Linked DNA regions of Stegostoma tigrinum. Each later gene encodes a partner of the first gene's protein in a complex. Links are inferred from orthologs where the notes say so. Each region holds a gene or a part of one and is shown in the gene's direction. Other genes may lie near its edges.

Region 1 (10,997 bases):
AGGACAGGTTACTAGGTCTCCCACATTTCACTCTGCACGATATCTACAGCACAGAGATAGGAAAACAGTGATCGATTTTTCCTGCACAAATAGGTGGGCTATTTGCACACCAGATTCTTTTCAAACTGTCCAGAATAAGAAACGAAAATAGAACAAAGAATGACTATATTCCGCCATTCCTGTCTCCGCGATACTTGTGTTCCCTAATCGATTTCCTATTTGATCTCCAAGGGTGTGGTGGCTTGTACAACTTGCTACCAGTGGGGAGATAGGAACAGTCCAGCGCCCCCTCAACGTGTGAACGAGGCCCGCAGCTCAATGCAAAACCAGACACACAATCCAAACACTCATGTGAATTGAGGTCAAATCAGACACTGTTACCAAAAGAAAGGCAGCGTAGGAGAAAGACGGGATCTCGACAGGCAGAGATTGAAAACGTAAAAGTTTTGTTTAAGTTTGTAAAGTCTCGCCGTTCCATGTTTCTCGGTGGAATCGAAACCGCTTTAAGACCTGTTTTGAAGAAGGATCGAACAGCTTCCTAATTTTGCATTTAACATTATTAACCAATTTCACTTTACCATGAGCACTGGTAGGCTCACCATTTTTCCTCGCACAAAATCGAGGTTTACTTTAAAAATGATTGATAAACGTTGTTTGGTATGATATACTATACTACGTGTGTATTCTGTTTCGAAACCAGTTGGGCAGAAGACAGCAAGTTTCCCGGCCAATAATTGTTGGATCAACCTATGTGAAGATTTAGAAACTTTTACCAACAAACTATGTACTATGTACTTTTACTATTGTACATTATCAAAAGAGCACAATGCTCTACAATCACCACCATGCTTTGCAATTCATAAGGAAATATACTGGGTACAACAGCTCTCTCAGCTGACATGGATAACTCTCTTCATCCAGATCATCTTCTACAAATACATGCTATGAATATTCTTGCTACAGTTCTGAAGAAGTTCTTGATACCAATAACTGTTTTCTCTCCACAGATGCTTCTCCAGCAATTTCTGTTTTGGTGCAGAACCCTATTATTTGAAGTTTAAAAGGCCATTATCTCCCCAGCAACAAGGAAATTGCCTGCAAGGGATGGTTATCAGCTGTTAAATATCAATATTTGAGCATGGAAGTCCCAATTGCTGCCATACCTCTACTACCATCTCCTCTGATGGAAAGATGATATATCCCACAGGGTGTGCAGTATGAAACAAGAACAAAGCAGATTCAGGTGTTCACCAAATGAACAGGTACTTCACTTCCTGGCGAATACTTTGCTGATATTTTCAAAATCACACAAGAACTAGAGGGCATAGGTTTAAGGTGAGAGGATAAAGATTTATAACTGACCTGAGAGGTAACTATTTTTTAAACACACAGGGTAATGCGTGTACAGAACGGCTGCCAGATGAAATTGCGTACAATTGCAACATTTAACAGACATCCAGACAAGTATGTAAATAGGAAGGATTTAGAGGGATATGGACCAACTGCTGGCAAACAAAACTAAGTTAGATTGGGATGCCTGGTTGACACAGACAAGTTGGTCTAATTCTGTGCTGTATGACTCCTTCTTCAAGATCTCCTTCACCACAATGTTACAAAAACCTCTTTTTAAACGTCTCTATAAGCCATAAATGTGACCATTTTGAATAGAAGGTTATAGGCCCGAAATGTCAGCTTTCCTGCTCCTCTGATGTGCCTTGGCCTGCTGTGTTCATCCAGCTCTACACCTTCTCAGATTCTGCAGCATCTGCAGTTCCTACTATGTCTTGAATATTATTCTGCCCAGGACCATGTCTTAAAACCCTGACTTTTGAGTCTCTATGAACTTTAAGAATCAGCTGGTTCAAGAATCTGTTGTGCATATCCTAACAGCAACAGGAGCTGTTCATTTAACAACACTACGTCACATGGGCTAAACTGGTTTTCAGTCTGGCAATTTGTTGGTTTTAAAATTCTTATCAGTGTTTTTGAATCCCTCACATCCCCTCACCCCAATAACTTCTTCAAGCCTTAGAATCAATCTGCAACCTCTAATTCTCAAATTCGGGTCTCTCATGTATTTGTTCTTTCATTTACTCTACCATTGGCATTGAAACCTTCAACATGCCTAGGCCCTCAGCTCTAGAACCTCCTCTCGAAACCTCTTCATCCCTTTCTCCTCCTACCTCCCTGACAAGCCTTTTATTATTTGCCCCCATACATCTTTACATGGATCGGTATCAAATATTGACAGATAATCCTTCACAAAGCATCTTCAGACTGTTTCATATGTTAAAGACATAGTACAAAGCAATGTTACTTTTGTTCTTGCTTAGATTTGTCTGGATGCTTAAATGTTCACTGAAGCTTTTTGAAATTTTATGGGTTAGGGAGGAAGATGGTCCTGAATAGATCTTTTGTCCATGTCTTATGTTTCTGGGACTGAGCCCTGGAAAATTTGGGATCACAAGCTTATTTTGATGCTGTCACAGTCAGTCTCCAGTGTTGTGGCTGCCTAGATGCTAGAAAGCAAAACAGAACACCAACTAACACTTCATCATACTGGCTTCTGGAGTGAAGTCTAATTTTTATTGATTTTCTTTGGTGCAACAGATTTAATAAATATAATCAACAGATAATTCAGCTGATTGTATATCTAAAATTGCAGAGAGAGATGTTATCTAATGATAACCAGCAACCTCAATTTTCAAAATATGTTAAATATGGTGAAGGATTATAGGAAAATCAGGATTAAATCTAATATTCAGTAAATTAAAATTGAAAAACAACTTTTGCAATTCTTAAATACAGTGTATTTAATCAATGAAACACTAATATGTTAAATTGACAACACAATCCTACATATTTTCACTGTTTAAAAAAAGCACTGGATCGTGACACATGTCTCCAAAACACAGTCCCCAAGAAAGTTTTTGAAAAGTGAATCTCTGATCTTCCCTTGGCTTTCAATCAGTAAACTTCTATAATGAAAGTCTTTCTGTAAAAGTGTCACATGAATAACCTTTATGTCCATGGGGAAGCTTGAGATGAGACAATGAGGCACCAAGACACTTACATTACAATAAATGTAACAATGCCTAAAAGTATTTTGAAACCAAATCAGAGGTAAGTCATTTTCCTTGGATTTGTTTCAGATTTTAAAATGACAAAGATTAAGGGCACTTAATCAGAGAGGAAGAGAATAACAAAATTAACAGCAATTACATCAGTACGTACTGGAAGTTGAGCAGGCAGTGAATCTCAGAAGTCAAATGAATTGTGACCAATTAATTTATTAATAGTTAATGTGAAAGAGAGAAAAGGTTGCCGTACAACTATTGGTTTGTGGTTCATTCATGCCCTTTACAGAAGGAATTCTATTGTACTGACCAGGGCTGGCTGACCTAGATGTCCAGCTGTGACCTCTTAAGACTAAATTTCTACTCAAGTCTGAAGTAAGAGTGCTTCACACTGGACATAACAGCTTTTCAGAGGTGTTGGCAGGAGGGGCTAATTTAGTTTGAGATTACGTTCATCAGGTTGGACCAAAGGGCCTGTTTCTGTGCTGTATGACTTTGAGTTGTTAAACTGAACACGCATTTGTCTTCTAAGGGTTACGTAAAAGATTTCATTGCACTATTTTTAAGATGAGCATTTATTGTCAGAGATGACAAGGTGTAGAGCTGGATGAACACAGCTGGCCAAGCAGCATCAGAGGAGCAGGAAAGTTGACGACACCAATGCTGCCTGGCCTGCTGCGCCTCTGCAGCTCCATACTGTGTCAAGTCTGACTCCAGCATCTGCAGTTCTTGCTACCTCTGATAAGGTTCGCTTTCCCTCCCTTATAAATGTGACTCCAAACCCACGGCAATGTTACTGACACAGAGCTATCACTTGAAATGACCCATTGTTACCATCAGGGATGAGCAATAAATGGCAGGCTCATCAACCAACACGGATAAACTTAAAACAACACCTGCATCAAAATACAAGGAAACAGTGTGCAGGATGTTTAAATCGCAGCAAGAAAACCTCACAACGAATTTTCAAAGTGTGAGGCACAGGACGATGGCTGCGGGAAGATTAACAAAAGCCAGCTCCACCCTCAGCAGGCCGCCAGTAACCATGGAAACGGCATCTTCCCCTCACAGCCTTGCCTTCACCGAGAGGCTCTTCCTCGTGCCAGCTGTTACCTATTTCACCCCGCCCACTCCACGACACTGCCCTATAACCCGCCATATCATTGCACGGCCTACTTCACGAGCAACCCAGTCATCGCCAGGTTCCGAAGGATAGCCCCGCCCCCCTATTAACGACCCGCCACCCGTCCGCAGGCTCTGTCCCTTTTTACCTCACCTCTCTCCGACTGCCCCGCCCACATCTTAATACCTCACCGCTGTCCGACTGCGCCGTCCATACTGGCCCCGCCCACTCCATGCTCCGCGCCCGTCATCATTGGACCCACCTTCTTCCCCACACTTCCGCATCCCAGATAACAAGATGTAGAGCGGGATGAACACCGCAGGCCAAGCAGCATCATAGGAGCAGGAAGGCTGACATTTCGGGCCGTGACCCTTAATCAGAGGGTCTAGGCCCGAAACGTCAGCTTTTGTGCTTTTAAGATGCTGCTTGGCCTGCGGTGTTCATTCAGCTCCACACTTTGTTATCTCGGATTCTCCGGCATCTGCAGTTCCTATTATCTACGATACTACTTCCACCTCCCACTCCGTCCCCGCCCCTGCACAGGACCCCACCCATCCATTGTTACTTGTCTCCGCCCACTCGCCGCTAACCCTATCCTGACCACGCTCCCATCACATAGCCCCGCCCACGCAACGTTCTGGCCAGCCGCTGCACCCTCCTGACTCCACCTACTCGGCGCCGTGCTTGCGTCTGGTCCTCAGACCCCGCCCATCTCCTCGCAGCGGATTGTACCCCCTGACCAGGAAGTGGATGTTTGTAGTTCCGTTGCAATGCCGCGGGCTCTTAAAAAAATGGCGCCCTTGGCGCCGGGTCGGAGCTAAGACGGAACCGGGATTGAACCTGGGCGAACTGTGGAAAAGCCGAGGCAACGGCTCCGACCCGGGAACTGGGTCTCCTAGAACAGGACAGTGGGAGGCCCGGCGATGGCGACTGTGGATCACAAGTCCCCGAATCTACTGTTGCAAAGCCTGTGCTGCCGGATCCTGGGCCGCAATGAGGGTGAGTAGGGCCGGGGGCTGGAGGTTGTGAAGCCGGAGACTTGCTGGTCTGGCCTGGCATGGCCTGGCGACAGTGAGGTAGGGATGTGTCGACAGCGAATCAGCCCTGGTGAGAATGAAAAACAAGCCCAGGTGGAGTGAGGGAATGATGTACGGACGTGCAGGGGAGGCGTTAGATGGGTTATGTTTGCAGGTGGAATTGAGCGGCTCGAATGGTGGCTTGTTTTCTTGAGGGGCTAAGCGTACAGCAACGTCAAGGATGTTGGAGAGGGACAAGATTAGAAGGTTTTTCTCACGTTGGCGGCAATGAAATTGAGAGGAGTAAAATTCGAGTCCTCCAATCGGAAATCCAGCTGAGTAGAGATTGGGTTGCTCACGATTATAATAGTGCCAGACAATATAGGGATAGTGAGAGTCCTGTAGTATCACCGGGGATAGGAGGAGTAATTAAATTGAGGAGATGGTATCAGAAGAAAGAGTTCAGGTTTTTGGAATCTAAACAGAATCTGGGTAAATCGAATGTAGCTGGAGAAAAGGCAAAGTTAACATTCAGTTGTAAGACAAGAAAGTTGTTTGGTGTATCAGAACAATACTGGTCTTCATTGAGTAATCCAATCAATTCTGTTCCCTTTTTCTGTCCCTGTAGCTTTGCTGGTTTACTTTTCTTTATTGCCATCCTTATTCCTTGTGAAATTACTAGTTATCTCCACTTCTATGACCCTCATACACAGTGGGATCCAGATTATGAGCATTCAGTATGCAAAGATATTTTTCCTAAGACTTTTTGTTTATCATTCATTCATATTACTCTTCCAGTTTTATCTGGTTAGATTCTCCTCATCTCATTGAAATTAGTTGCCCTCCAATTTGGAAACTTCATTTTAGATTATTGCTTTCTGTTGTCCATTACTACTTAATCTATAATTAATATCATGTTCCCTATAAGTTATATGAACTCATTCCCTGGCACCAGAAATTTCACTTTGAGTTGCAGTGAACATACAAATTCGGACATTTTGGTTAAGCAAGCATGTTCCACCATCAGTAACACCATGGCTGTTCCGCCTGGCCTCAGCACCACCTTTCTGTCTCATCCCTAAACCTGTTGATTTCCTTTTCAGTCAAGAATCTGTCTAACTCAGCCTTAAAAATATTTAGTGATTGTGCTTCCCCTTTTTGGGGAAGAGAAATCTGGGGACTAAGCTTCTTTTAAGAGATTCTTCTATTCTGCGTCATAATTGAGAGAATCCTCATTTTTAACCTGTGCCTGCTGGCTCCAATCTCTCCTACAAGTGGAACTATCCTTCCTGCATCCACCCTGTTAATTTCCGTCGATACTAAATGTTTCATTAAGATCAACTCTCATTCTTCTGTACCCCAACGGATATAGGGCTGACATGTCGAACCTTTGCTCAGAGGATAATGTTTTATCCCAAGAATTGATCAAGTTAACTTTGCACTGTTTTAATCCAGTTACATTCTTTCATAAGCATGACCAAACTGTTTGCACTTTTCCACTTGTGGTGTCACAAACAGACTGTATAACTAGAAAATTTGGAATATGTGAGAAAGCTAGATAGAAATGTAAGAACAAACATTGGGTTTCTATAGATATTTAGAAAGGAAAAATGGTAAAAGAAAATTGTTGGCACTAAGGAAGTCAGTTTAGGGAATTACTTATCAAAAATAAGGAAATGACAGATTACTTAAGCAGGTAATGTTGCAGTACTTTTCACAAGTGGGTACGAATAACATGTCAGAAATGTGTGTATATCAAAAATGGAAAACAGAAGGGACCTTTGGAAAGTTATATCAAGTGTGTTGTACTGAGTAAATTGTTGGATCTGCAGACTATCCAATTCCTAGGTACTGTGAACCTTATCCTAGGGACGTACAGGAAATAGCTAGCAAGGTAATTAACATGCTATTTTGTTTTTCCAAAATTCTCTCGACTTGAAGTTTCATTTGATTAGAAAATAGCAAGTGGAGCTTCTTTATTCAAAGTTGACAACAGAAAGCAGGAAAGTGCATGCCATTTAGCTTAACGTATGTCAAAAAGAGGATGCTGGAAGCTATTAATGAATATGTTAGTGTGGCTGTTTGAAAAATTTAAGATAATCGGAATGTGTCAACAAGGCTTTGTCCAAGGGAAATCATTTTTAAACAATTTGTTGTAACTGTTTGTGGAGGTTAACATGCTGTGGAGAAAACAGATCTAGCGGATGTGTTGCAGTTGGTTTTCCAAATAGCATTTGTAAGGTGCTGTGTCAAATGTTTTTGCAGAAAATATAATATCACAGTGTGGGGAAAGGAATGCATTGGCATACATAAGAGCTTGGCTGGCTAACAGGCGACAATAAGCATATATGTGTCACTTTCAGGTTTGCAAGATGCAACAAGTAGTGTACCAGAAACAAGTTGTGATCTCAACCTTTTACAATTTGTGTCAGTTATTTTGAAGGAAAGGATGAAAGATATGGTTGCTAAATTTGCTAATGACACTGTAGTAGTTAGCAAAGTAAATTATGAAGTAGACAGAGGACATAACTTAAACAAGTGGACAAAGGTCTGACAAATAGAGTTTTAAGTGGGAAAAGTGAAATTATCCATTTTGGGAGCAAAAGTTGGGGAAAAAGGGCAGATTATAGAGATTATGAAGGATTGCAGAGTTCTTGTTATGCAGAGATATCTGGGTGTGCTAATGCATGAAATGCAAAAGGTTACTATGCATAACAGCAAGTAATAAGGGAAGCTGATGCAATGTAATAATTTATTACAAGGGGAAATGAATACCAATAGAGAGGTTCTGTTTCAGTTATACAGGTCATTGATGACACCATATCTGAGGTACTGTGAACACTTGTAGACTCCTTATTTAACATCCTGGGACATTATAACACCGACATCTACCTGGTAATGTGAAAAATTGCCCAGCTGTTTCCTCTTAAACAAAAAGGATAAATCAAACCTGGCCAATTTCTGCCCGACCAGTCTACATCATCAGTACAGTAATGGAAAGTGTCATCAAATGTTATGAAGCAGAACTTGCTTAGCAGTAATCTGATCAGTGATGTTCAATTTGGGTACTGGCCACTCAGCCCCTAACTTTGTTACAGCCTATGTTCAAATGTAGGTAAAAGAGCTGAATTCCAAAGGTCAGATAAGAGTGGCCATACTTGACGTCAAGGCTGCTTTTGACAAATTGTAGCATCAAGGAGCACGAGCAAAATGGAATCCATGGGAGCCAAGGGAAAACTGTCTGTTCTTTGTAGCCATAAGTAGCTGAAAAGAAAATGATTTGAGGTCAACCCTCTCAGCTCCAGAGCATTTCTGAAGGCGTTCTCAGGGTAGTGTCCTAGGCTCAAGCACATTTCCCCATAAAGCAATCTGCTCGTTTCAGGTATTAGTCCGATAAACCTTCTCTGAACTGCTTTCTGTGTATTAACATCCTTCCATATGTAGGGTGACCAGTACGGTACACAGTCCTCCAGATGTGGTCTCACCAGTGCTTTGTATAATTGAAGCAAGTCTCATTACTCTTGCATTCAGTTGACCTGGTAATAGACTATTACATTCTACAAGCTTTTTTGATTACTTTCTGTTTCTGCATACTAACCTTATGTAATTCGTGCATGAGGACTCACAGAACTCTGCATCTCGGAGTCCTGCAACCTCTCACAGTTTTGATGTGCTTCTTCCTCTTCTCATTTTGCCAAAATAGACTATTTCACACTTTCCTACATTCATAGTGCAGTTTCCAGATCTTTGCCTACCTAACTGTCTATCTCCCTTTATAGCCTCATGTCCTCTTTATATTGTTTCATCATTTTGTTTCATCATTTAGTTCTCTGAATGCATCTTTCCAGCAGTTTTTATTGTTTATCCACATTTGTAACTATAATAAGTTGGCAAAAAAATGTGGAAATTTGCAGTGTGAAGCATGGGAAAATACCTGAGACAGGGTTTTGATTGTATAATGTTCTGTATTACAAAGTGATTGAGATCAGTTTGAATTGGAACTTGTTTTGTCTGTTGTTGTTTTTGAGACCAAGTTTTAGTTTGTTTTAATTTCCCATCAGACTTCTGGATTTGAATTGGCCTTACCATGTGCGATTGTCTTTTATAGCTGATGTGGCTCAACAATTCCAGTATGCTGTGAGAGTAATTGGAAGTAATTTTGCTCCCACCGTGGAAAGAGATGAATTTCTTGTCGCTGAAAAGATCAAGAAAGAAAGTAAGTTGGCTTCTTGAAATAGTTTGGTAATCAATGAAAATGTTCTGTCAGCCTCTATTCAGGTCACTTAGGTTTGGAATTTTTCTTTTATGTCATCATTATTACGGCCAAGTTGTAGTCTGATCTAAGTTTTTGTCAAACCTGTGTTTTCATTAGGTGCAGTCTACCAATAAAATGATCCTTGCAAAAGATCACAATGCTAAGTCTTCTCTTTAAAAAGTCCATGTATAGTATTAGTTGTTGTACTCTCTCCTTTCATTGAAATAATAACGCTGTCAAATATAACACTGTCAATGAACTCATCTCATCCTCTGTCCTTGCTGTGATTGCTGTGTAAACAATACTTATTATCAAGTTCTGTGAATCACCCAGTTTATGTAACAAGTAATTACATGGAAGATTGGTACAAAATTGAATAGTTGCATATTCAATGGTGAGGAGAGAAGGTGGGTTCCACACCACGGTGGGAAGAAAAAACTTGCACATAGACTTTAACAGCCTAAACAAAAGATGGTCCTCCAAGGGAGCAGGTCACAAGAACTAATGCTATACATGGTCTTTTTAAAGAGAAGACTGAGCATTGTGATCTTTTGCAAGGATGATATTATGAGGAACAGGAGTTTGCATTCAGTGCTTTTATCCTGTTCTGTGATTTGATAATACGATAACTCATGATTGTACTCCCACTCCACTTTACTGACTGTCTCCGTGACCCTGAACTTCCTTACAAAAATCCATCTAATTCAGTCTTGAATATTTAAAAAAAAAACCAGGCTCCAGTGTTCCCTGAGAAAGATAATTCCACTGACTAACAATCCTCTGATGAAAAAAATTTACACTTCTAATAAAAGCAAAGTACTGCGAATGCATGAAGTCTGAAACAAACAGAATGTAGGAAAGAAACTCAGCAGCTCTGGCAATATCTGTAGAGAGACAGTTGCTTCGAGTCTGGTGTAACTCCTCTTAAAATCTTGTGTCGGAAAACATTTTTTTAATACTTTTGACAGAGGCAGAGGTGGAACAAGGGGATAGATGGTATAAAAGCCCTGTGCAAAAGACAAAAGAGTAGTTATGGTGGTGAAAAGGGAAAAGACAATCAAGCTGTAGTTCCTAGGATCGAAATGGACTTCACCTCCACTGGAGATCTCACTCCAGAGCTTCTCACCTCATAACACAAACCCACACCACCACCTGCAACCACGCATAGTCTGCTCCACAAACAGGACTGCCCTGGCAGACCCATAATTCAAACCTGTTCCTGCTCCACTGAACTTAATGTCTTCCTGTCTTGATGCTATTTCATATTCCTCACTCTTTTCAATCTTTTCTTACTTATGTTCATGACTCTTCTAACATCATTCATTAATTTCCAGTTTTGTGGTCCTGGCTTCCACCTCTTCAGCATGGATGTGCACTCCCTGTGTACACCCTTTTCCCAGCAGGATGGTCTGAAGGCCCTCTGCTTCAATACTGAGAAGCCACCTTCGCAATCTCCATCTGCCACCACATACTTATCTGTATTTCTTTCTCAACTAAAATCGCTACCTACTTTTGTGTCATCAGCA
Region 2 (10,997 bases), about 12 Mb from region 1:
GAGGATACAAGATGCAAAAGGGGATTGACAAAGTAAACGTAGAAAGCATGTTTCCTCATGTGGCAATCTATAACAAGAGATCAGTTTTAGGCTAAGGGATAGCAAATTTAAAACAGATGAGGAGAAATTACATCTTTTAAAGGGTCATCAATCTGTGAAATTTGTTAGAGTGCAGTGGATGCTGGGACATTCATGTAAATTTAAGGAGGAGATGGACTTTTCATTAGTAATGAGTTGAAGGATTATGGAGAGTGGGCAGGAAAGTGGAGTTGAGGCTGAAATAAGATCAACCATGATCAAGTGGTGGAACAGGCTTGACAGACCGAGTTGCCTACTCCTGCTCATAGTTCTTATGGGTAATTTATGGGCTTTACTGGCTAGGCCAACATTTATTGTCCATTCCTAGTTGTCCAGATGGTGAGCTGCCTTCTTAAACGTGTAGGGAGACCCACTGCACTGTTGTGAAGGGAGATCCAGGTTTTTGACCCATAGACAGTGAAGGAACGGTGATATTGTTTCAAGTCACGATGGTGGTGGCTGCAGGGGAACTTGTAGGTGCTGGTGTTCCGATTATCTGCTCCCCTTGTCTTTCTAGGTGAGAGAGGGTGTGCATTTGGAAGTTGCTTTTGAAGGAGCATTAATCACATACTGAATTCATTGAGGATATGTTGATATTGTCAAATCACTTGGAATTGAAACACAAGCAAGAAAATGACTCTAGAGTGCCTCATCATCTTATCCATCAAAATGGCAAACAAAACTCTAATACATGTAAATGAGAAAGGGCATCTAATTACATATATGCTGATCTAATGGCTGCATTGTATGCAAGTCATAGTAAAGAAAACTGGTAACCTGGTGCAGCTCATGTATGCAGATTGCTGGTGAACATCTTCTGGATCAATTTCAATAGGATGCAGGATGGCAAGCTCTCCAATGGACCATCTGAATTTTCCAGGTGTCTAAGCAAGGAAAGTAGTATATTTTCAAGCCATCCAACATAAGTAAGAAATAATTTACATTTATAGCTGGTTTCTGAAACCTCAGCACACTTCAAAGTGCCAATGAAACATACTTTGAATTGTAGTCACTGTTGGAATGCAGTGAAAGTCAACACCAGTACAGCTCTTCCCTCAGTGCTAGCCTCAATGTTATGATATGGGCTAAAATGAAGAATATGTACTGTTTCTGGCACTTTTCAAACTAACCACAGACTAAGTGATCCCAAACAAATGTAACGAAAATTTGATAATCAGAATCTTCCTTGCTTTAAAGCATTTCCTCTAACTTCGATCTATCTCTTTAATATAACTTTAATTTTCTAATGGCTAATACAACCAGGTATCACTCTTTCAAATATAGTTTTCATATGGTAAAACGCCTTTGTCCTAAAAAAAAACTTGACATTCCACACTGCTATTTTTATAGCACACAAAATCAATTAAATTACAATATTTTGTATTCAATATGAGAGAAAAGAATTCTCTTTAAGGAGTGTCAAACATACCTGTGAATCAGGTGTTTTCACTAATTTGAAGACAGAGGGACTAGGGACTACTGGTTCATGCAATGTTGCATAATCACTGGGGCTCTCAAAAGGATTTGAAACAGGAGGTCGCCCGGGTGTGTCTGGTGTTACATGTACCCTGGTCTCACTCTTCAAATCTCCCATTCCTCTTCCTTATAGTAAGTAGAACCTTTCCACTTCTATTATTGGGGAAACAAGAATCTTTGTGAAATAAGTAAACAATATGTTTTTTAATGTCAAATTTTCACATATGTCTCACACCTACTCTTTTAATGAAAACAAAATACTGCAGATATTGGAAACTGGAAACAACAACCGGAAATGCTGTAGAATCTCAGTAGATCTGGTAATACCTATGGAGAGAGAAATAAGATTAACATTTCAAGTCTGAAAAGACTCTTCTGCAACACGAAGTAGTAAAATTGGAAAATGTTCGAAATGCTTCGGCCCATCTATCCAGATCCCACTTTCCCAGAACTGGTGTCAGTACCAATGAACTGGAACCCATTTCTGCCACGACAGTCGTCTTTCAGCTATACATTCAATTGTCAAGTCTGATTTACCTTATGGCAGTTTTTAAGTGACTCAAGTATAACACAGCGATTATGAATATTGAGGTTCTGCTTCTTAAAATTTGCACCCAGCTCCTCATACTGACAATGCAGAGCCTCCTTCTTTGTTCTGTCTATGTCGCTGGTACTGACGTGGACCATGGCAATTGGGTCCTTCCCTTCCCATTGCAAGTTCGTCTCCAGCCCCAAGCAGGTGTCCCGCGTTGTGGCAGCTGTCAGGCAACACAACTGTTTGGACTCATGCTTTTTTGCTGCAGAAAACTTTGTTAATCTCCCTCACAATCCTGTGTCCTACCACAACTACATTCTTTCTTACTCCCATCGAGTGTCTTTGTGTACTGTGCTGCCATGATCATTTAGGTTATCCCCTCTGCAACCCTCAGCCTGCCTTACCCAGACAAGCTGAAAGAATAATCTTAATTTTGTTTGAGAAAGTTCCTTACTAATCAGATATCTTTAATATACTAATTAGCCTAAGCATATTATGATAACTGCACTACATCAGCAAGTGTATCACAGCACATCTGCTTACATATCTTGCTTCTGTGGAGTCACATTAACTAATGACATTCTTCATATAATTCGTTTAGCTGCTGTATCCATTGTCCAAGAACTATTTTATGCAGATTTGGGTTCTTCACATATAAAGAACACGAATTAATTTCTAGCTGAGCAAACATTTTATACAATAAATAATGCAGTTTTTCATGCTATGTAATATATTCAAGAACTCGACTAATTTTTCTAAAATGTTTATCCACGGGATGTGGGCATTGCTGACTGGGCCAGCATTTATTGTCCATCCCTAATTGTCCTGGAGAAGTTAAATATGAACATTTTCTTGAAACACGTGTGTGAGAGATGCAGGACACATAGCGTGCTTTTGAGCATAAGATATAGGCAAAGTAGGCCACTCAGCTCATTCGTGGAGGAGATTCAATCAATGAGATCAAGCTCATAATCATCAATCCACTTTCCTGCCTTTTCCCCATAACCCTAGATTCCCTTGCAGATTATCATAGCCTTATATACTTAGTCTACTAAACACATATATACTATATATTAAAATGTATGCTTAAGATGCTTTGTATACAAACAGAAAATGTGCTTGACAGCCCAGCCTGTGTAGCCCTCCAGATTTTAAAAAAAATCCACCGATTCACTACTCTCAGAAGTGATTCATCCACATCCTTGACTTAAATGGGTGACTCCCTATTCTGAAATTAAACCCTCTGCTCCTAGAGTCACTCAGAATGATAAACAACCTGTCTGCATTTACCCTTTCAAGTCTCCTAAGAATCAACAAAAACATGATATCAACAATCCTTTAGCCATTTTTCTATTTTAAAAGATTTTACGATATTTTACCTGCCACTATTTTACATGATATTGATATTTCACTCTACCCTCTGTTTTATGTGATATTTTCAGTCAAGACTTTCCAGTTTACAATATTTCACCCAGTATGTCTGTTTTAAATGTTATTGATATTATATCACCTCAGTTCCTCTCTATTTTACATGATGTTGATAATATATCACCCAATCTATCCGTGTTTTAGATAATATCGACAACATTTTATCGATTCCCGTGTTTTACAAGATATTGATATTTTCCTTGTCTCGTTCCGTTTTATATGAAACTGATTATATTTTACCCCAGTCTCTCTTACTTATTGATGGTATTCCACCCGAGGCACCCTTAGTTTTACATGAAATTTCACACCAATCTCTCTCCATTTTATATGATATTGATGAAACTTCACCCCAGTCTCTCTGCTTTACCAGACATTGATGATATTCCATCCCAGTTTCTCTCCGTTTTACACACTATTTGACACTAGTGTCTCTCTCTCTATTTTAAAGTGATATTTAAGTAGATCTTACCTTCAATATTCCTCTCACCGAGTTCGTTGCCTTGAATGTCCCTCCCGCAGCCGCTGGCCAATCAGCGGCTACCGCAGCGAACGCAGCCAGCCAATCACCTGGTTTGGATGGTGGCAGCCAAAGAAACACAAACATTGGCAAGGGATATAGCCAATTACCGGTCTCAGTTATCGTTAGCCAATCGGAATGTCTCCTTGGGCGGTGAGACGGCAACCAATCGGCGGGTGCGCGCCAGCATCAACCAATCAGATTCAAACGGCAGCCAAGATTCTAAACGGCCGCTGACCCAGAGGAAAACCTTCACAGTGATAATAAGTCGATCCCGTTTCATCGGTTGGACGCCGACCGGTTATTTCACAAGATTTATTACCACAGTTTCCTGCTTGCTACGGTGACTAGTTTAGTTTTTTTTAAAGATGTGGTGATGTAATGGGCGGGGACCGGGCGGCTGTGGTTCCGGGTGAAAGGTGGAGCAATGGCGAACGCTGCTAACCTGAACGCGGTGAGGGAGACCATGGACGGTGAGTGTGAGAGAGAACCGAGTGATTTCGTGTTGAAGTTGGCGGTTCTTGTCTTCCTACCGATCCTCCATGTCATTAAAAGGGAGTTGATCGCGGCTTCATCACTCCAAATTCCTGGGAGGGGAAGAATGTCGAAACGTTAATGCTGCCTTCCCTCCACAGGAGCAGCCAGACCTTCTGAGTTTCTCCAGTGTGGAGCTGGAGGAACACAACAGGCCAGGCAGCATCAGAGGGAGCAGGAAAGTTGATGTTTCGGGTTGGGATCTCCACTACTTTGTTTTACTTTCCTTCTGGATGGAGAAGGATGTACCCTACGAGCAAAAGATTTCAGTAGACAGCTCATACCTGTGTTCCTCGGTGACCAGAAGAGGTGATCTCCGTTCAGACATGCGAATATGATTCGACAGGGTGGATATAGCACGCCCCTCCGCACACCCATGTCCAGAACCCGGAAGTCACAGCCTCTGAATGAGGGGACAACCTTTCAGGGAGTGAGATGAGGAGGGACTTGTTCTCGCGGAGGATAGCAAATCTGTTCAATTCTCGCTCAAGCATCCCCCCACCCACAAAAAAAACTGTATAGAATCCTAGTTCTTGAGTATTTTCAAGAGTGAGATGGATAGCTTTCCACTTTTAAAAGTAATATCCAGGGATTGTGTAGGAATTGGTGATGACGGAGAAGCCATGACCTCATTAAATGGCAGACTGGGCTCAAAAGGCAGAATTTCTCTTTTATTCATTAATGCAATGTGGGCCTTAGAATGATCTACTCCTATTTCTTAGATTTTTATGCTTCTTGTCAAATCCATTTAAGCATGAACAGTACACAGCAAGCTAATTTGACTAGGCAAGTTCAAAAATATAGGCCCATACAATTTACTGTGCCTCTTGTTTCCAGACTGCAGGGGTTCTACAAGCCATTCAGCCCATTGGGTGCATATTGACCCTTCAAAGAGTTTTGCAGGAGCACTGCAGCAAACCTGAGACATAAATGTTAGCCAAGGAGCACAGTGGTGTGTTGAAGTTGCAGGTAATTGGAGCTGTCATTTTTGCAGAACGTAGGTGTTCTGCAACATGGCCACCCAATCTGCGTTTTGACTCCCCAGCGTAGAGGAAACCAGGTTGTGATCTGCAAATACAGTAGATGAGTAAGTGAAGCGGATGTAAATCACTGCTTAATCTGGAAGATGTCTGGTGCCTTCGATTGTGACAAGTGAAGAAGTAAACTGGCATCTCTTACACCTTCTGCACATTTCTGGGAAAGTGCCACAGGGATGTGGTATGTATTGGGAACGGAGGAAGCATGCACCAAGTTATACCATAGGAAATGGTGCCTGTAGAAGACTCACAAGTAAGAGAAGGGGAATGTGTCTGGTGACAGCATCACACTTGAGGTGGTGGAAATGGTGGCTTATGAACCTTTAAATGTGATGCTGGTGTGGTGGCAGGTGAGGACCAGAGAGACCCTATCCGTGTTAGGGTGGGAAGAGGAGGAGTGAGGACGTAAGTGCGGGGGATGGGTTGGATGTGGCTGAGGGCCCTGTCAACCATGGTAGCAGGGAATCCTCAGTTGAGAAAGAGGTGGACATTTCAGTGGCCCCTTGCAGAAGCTGGCATCGTCAGAACAGATGCTACAGAGAAAATCCGCAAACAGGACTGCCTGGGCAGACCATTGTTTCTGCGTGATCCTGGCCCACAAATTCTTTTGTCCCAACCCGATTTGATTTTCTGTTTTTTCCTCTCCTCTCCAGGTCCTTCCCACTTACATTTGTGATTCTTCTTATGCTTTGCCAATTTCCAGCTTGTGTGACTCCTGCTCCTCACAATGGGCGTGCAGTCCATTACACCTCCAACCACCAATGGGATGATCTCGGGGCCCTCCACTACTTCCTGGAAGAAGGCCTGAACTGCCCTGTATACTTCCTACTCTTCCGAGCTCATCCTTACTTTGAATAACTGCCCCTTAAACTCCTCTTATTTTCTTCAAATTGAAACTGTGGCCGTAGGTATCAGCATGCCAGTAATGCCTATCTCCTTATGGGTAGATAGAATATTTCTTGTTCCAGCTCTTCTTGGGGCTCCTATCACAACTCCTTCTCTGGTGTATTGACATTATTGATGCTGCTTCCCTCATCCAGAATTGGAAAGATATCAATTTCTCCTCCAGCTCTTCTCTCCCCATCTTCAAAATCTGTTTCCATTTCTGGGGATAAGCATTACAAACTCATCAATTCTCACAGTTCTTGGTCTATACTTGCTCATACGTGCTTCCTGTAAAGAGTCTATTCCAACGTTGTTTTCAACCAAGAATTCCCCGCTGCTGTGGTCAACAGGATCTTTAGCTGTGTCCAGCTCATCTTGTGCAATTAAACCCTCGTCCCTTCCCTTACTACTCCAAAACCAATAGGGTCCCAGTGGTCCTCATCGTCCACCTCAACAGCACCCACATCCAAGGATCATAAGACACCATTTCCTCCACCTCTAGCAGCATGCCACCAACATTCTCCTCTCTTTCCTTGCCAGCTTTCTGCCAGGACTGTTCCCTCCTAGCCACCTTGGACCACTTCTCCTCCACTCCCAACACCACCTTCTGTTCACGTGGCAACTTACCATGCAATTGCAGGAGGTGTAAAACCTGCCCATTTCCTTCTTTCCTCCCTACTGTCAAAGGCTCCACCCACACCTTCCAAGTGAAGCAGCAATTTTCCTGCACTTTACTCAATCTGGTATATTGCATGCAGTGCTCACAATATGGTCTCCTCTACACTAAAAAAATGAAATGCAAATTGGACGACCGCTTTGCCGAACACCTATGTTTTGTGTACAAAACATGACAGCTTCTGATGGCCCGCAATTTCATCACACCATTGTGTTCCCTAGCCAGCATCACTGTTTCAGGCTTGCTGTGCTAACGAGCAAAGCTGGAAAACAGCAGTTCATTTTTCACTTGAGGATCCTGGAGCCTTCAGGATTTAGTATCAGCTTCAGTAATTTTGAGGGCTTGAAGACATTTGTCGATCTCTCTTTTATTACCACATTCCAGGCCCTATCATCATATGGGCTTCTGTGATGACCAATCCATTGTCGGCTATTAGTGGACCCCAGCAGCATCCAGCGATTCAGCTACGTTGACCATTACGCATTCCACTGTTTTATTGTATTTTTTGTCAGTGTTAATGAGAGCAGCAAAAGCAGCGTCTTGGATTTGGTGATGTTTCTATTGGGCTCCCATGAAATGTGGGGAAGACGTGGGAATTTAAAATAAAACAAAGAACTTTGGATGCTGGAGATCTGAAACAAAAATCTGGAGAAACTCAACAGGCCTGGCATCATTTGTGTAGAGAAAAGCAATTGAGGTTTCAAAGCCAGTGACACTTCTTCAGAATTTGAAAGAAAGGTTGAATGTCATTGAAAACCATGGACTCATAGGGTGGAATTCTTTCCACTTCTCCCTCTCTCTGTAACAGCTTTACTTTGCATATCTGGAATGCCTTACAAGGTTATGTTTTCTTTTTCCCTAATTTTCAACTTCTCCCACTTTTCACAGCTGATGGGTTACATTGGAGGCTGCCTAAACAACAGCGGTAATTTTGAGCTGTCACTGTTCACTCTGGGAGGAAAAGTGTGTTAATTGGTGTCGGTTGCAGAGTTTTGCTGTGGAGGCAGATGCTTTCTTCAGAGTCATGGCATAATAAACTGGGTATAGCAGTGCAAGATAAACACTTGACTGAGGAGACTGTGTCAAATTATGTCACATGCTTATGTCAACATGGCTGTGCCTAATTTTCTATCACAGTGCTGGAACCCTGATTTCCACATCCCTTTAGCCTCGAGAAATCTATTGCTTTAAGTAAAATTCAATACTTTGGCCTCTGCAGTCTTCTGTGATTGAGAATTCCACAGGCTTACCAGCCTTCTCATCGCGGTCTAAAATGGCATATTGCATATACTGAAACCTTAATGCCTTGTTTTGGTTGCCCTAGCCAGGGGAAACGTCATCCCTGCGTTCAGTATGGCCAGTTCTAAAAGAATTTTGTATGTTTCAATGAAATCTCCCCATTTCTTCTGAACTGCAATGCATACAGGACCAGTTGGGTCTAGTTAGGAATTTCCTGCCTAAATGCAATGTGGGTCAATCTACAGCATGTGGACGGCAGTGGTTCAAGATGACAGCTAGGGATAAGCAATAAATGCTGGCCAGCCAGCGATGCCCATAATCCCACAAGTGAATAAATATTTTTCTTTTAAAAATGGGCCCAACCTCTCCTCATGTAACACACCTGCAACTTCAGGAATCAGTCTGGTGAACTTCACTTAAATGCTTTCTTGGATAAACACCTCAGCTTGAAGCATGCCCATGTACTCTAGTTACTGTGGGGAGAGAAACTCATTGAAGTGTCAATTTGATAGTTTCAGCACCATTTTCATGATATTTCCCAGGAAAGACAGAACTGCAGTTTCAAGCAGAAACAATTCGGAGCCATCGCTGCGGGTTCATAGAACATAGAACATTACAGCACAGTACAGGCCCTTTGGCCCTCGATGTTGTGCCGACTTGTCATACCAATCTCAAGCCCATCTAACCTACACTATTCCATATGCTTATCCAATGGTGACTTAAATGTACCTAAAGTTGGCGAATCTACTACCATTGCAGGCAAAGCGTTCCATTCCCTTACTACTCTCTGAGTAAAGAAACCACCTCTGACATCTGTCCTATATCTTTCACCCCTCAATTTAAAGCTATGCCCCCTCGTGCTTGCCATCACCATCCTAGGAAAAAGGCTTTCCCTATCCACCCTATCTAACCCTCTGATTATTTTATATGTTTCAATTAAGTCACCTCTCAACCTTCTTCTCTCTAGTGAAAACAGCCTCCAGTCCCTCAGCCTTTCCTCGTAAGACCTTCCCTCCATACCAGGCAACATCCTAGTAAATCTCCTCTGCACCCTTTCCAAAGCTTCCACATCCTTCTTATAATGCAGTGACCAGAACTGTGCACATACTCCAAGTGCGGACACACCAGAGTTTTGTACAGCTTCACCATAACCTCTTGGTTCCGGAACTCGATCCCTCCATTAATCAAAGCTAAAACACTGTATGCCTTCTTAACAGCCCCATCAACCTGGGTGGCAACTTTCAAGGATCTGTGTACATGGACACCGAGATCTCTCTGCTCATCTACACTACTAAGAACCTTACCATTAGCCCTAGAAGTAAAGGATAATTAGAAAACCTCAGATCAAGGAAATAAATGCACAATAAATTTTAGGAATATGAATGTCTGCATCTCTGCAGGCGTTCCTCAGGGTATTGTCCTAGGCCCAACCATCTTCAGCTGCTTCATCAATGACGTTCCTTCCAACATAAGGTCAGAAGTGGGTATGTTCGCCAATGATTGTACAATGTACAGCACCATTCGCAACTCTCCAGATATGTCAAGCTGAAATGTTTTTGATATTGGAAATTGAGCAGAATACTTGTGGAAATTTGAGGTTCAATTCAAAAGAAAGGAAACTGAACAAATGGGGCCCCTGAAGATTTATATAGCAGCGATATCTAAAATACACCATTCTGATTTGTGATCTGATCAAATTGAATTTTGGTGAAGAACACTGGAAGTTTTGACCTAGCGTGGAGAAGTGAAGCTGCTAGAAAACTGGTAGTAATAGTAGGACTGTTGCTGCAGTGCTGCACACCTGACTGTGGCGCCCAAAGCGACGGTTTTGAGAAACCAGTAAGGGAAGCTGTGATAACTGGGTTGGATTTGCAGATCCAAAACTTGCACCAAGCACAGAAAAGATTTACAAAAACTAGTAGATAGGTTTTGTTAACAGCAAGCATGAATGTTAGAATGAAATCAGTTAAAACCAAAAATGATGCATATCTCGATCACTAAGAACAAATCACAGAGAAAGAATTAGAAATGCAGTTATCAAAGTATATCTGCATCTGGAAGTTGCCACAAAGAAATAAAAACAAGGATGGCTATGAGAGAGGCCAGATTTGGTAAGAAGAGATTATTTTCTGGTTAGCAACCAGAGTACATAACTGATTGTAGGGAGTTTGGTTTGGAGCATTATTTTGTATGTATGAGTAATTCTATGCATGAATTAACTAACCTGTAAGTAATGTTTGATCCATCTTGATTTCTGCTTTGTTACAGCGTAAAGTGTAATCTCTGTTCTTTTTGTAGTTCAGAATTTCATTGCATTTTTAAGTCATGTCTTTACAGAAATCTTAACAGTAGTGTCTTCTAAGATGATAACGTAATTGAATATGGGATGGGGGGGGTGTAGTTAGATTCTGAATATTATTACTGGCACTCATGGTGTCTATGTTACTTAAATTTGGGCAGCTGAAGCCTAATTGTTGTCCAGGTCTTGCTGCATGTAGGTATCGCCATTTCACTATCTGTGTGGTTGTGAATTAAAACAACCACCTACAGTCACCAGTAAATGTCTCTTGGTTGGAAGGAAAAGTGATTGAT

Evidence for each region. The genes of interacting proteins can lie anywhere in the genome.
Region 2: the proteins of tubgcp3 (region 1) and mzt1 are in contact, whole or in part, in a cryo-EM structure (PDB 7QJD), measured with the Homo sapiens proteins. The link is inferred for Stegostoma tigrinum from reciprocal best matches to the Homo sapiens genes TUBGCP3 and MZT1. Residues at the interface, in NP_006313.1 of Homo sapiens: Lys7, Pro9, Leu12, Leu13, Asn15, Leu16, Cys17, Arg19, Ile20, Leu21, Arg23, Val28, Gln31, Tyr34, Ala35, Val38, Ile39, Asn42, Phe43, Ala44, Pro45, Thr46, Ile58, Leu62, Arg67, Asp70, Phe74, Leu77, Lys80, Leu81; in NP_001065243.1 of Homo sapiens: Asn17, Ala20, Val21, Glu23, Thr24, Val27, Leu28, Glu30, Ile31, Ser32, Arg33, Ile34, Leu35, Asn36, Thr37, Leu39, Asp40, Glu42, Thr43, Ile46, Cys47, Val48, Arg49, Leu50, Cys51, Glu52, Gln53, Gly54, Ile55, Asn56.

The regions. Positions count from the first base shown.
Region 1 is NC_081359.1:13,323,879-13,334,875, forward strand, and holds the start of tubgcp3 (gamma-tubulin complex component 3), read left to right. Parts: upstream 1-4,922; 5' UTR 4,923-5,123; coding exon 5,124-5,199; intron 5,200-9,324; coding exon 9,325-9,432; intron 9,433-10,997. UniProt on the Homo sapiens protein: Component of the gamma-tubulin ring complex (gTuRC) which mediates microtubule nucleation.
Region 2 is NC_081359.1:25,379,203-25,390,199, reverse strand, and holds the start of mzt1 (mitotic-spindle organizing protein 1), read left to right. Parts: upstream 1-4,385; 5' UTR 4,386-4,461; coding exon 4,462-4,507; exon of another isoform or gene 4,508-4,621; intron 4,622-4,852; exon of another isoform or gene 4,853-4,907; intron 4,908-10,997. Other genes in the region: bora (protein aurora borealis), read right to left, coding at 856-962, 1,508-1,672. UniProt on the Homo sapiens protein: Required for the recruitment and the assembly of the gamma-tubulin ring complex (gTuRC) at the centrosome.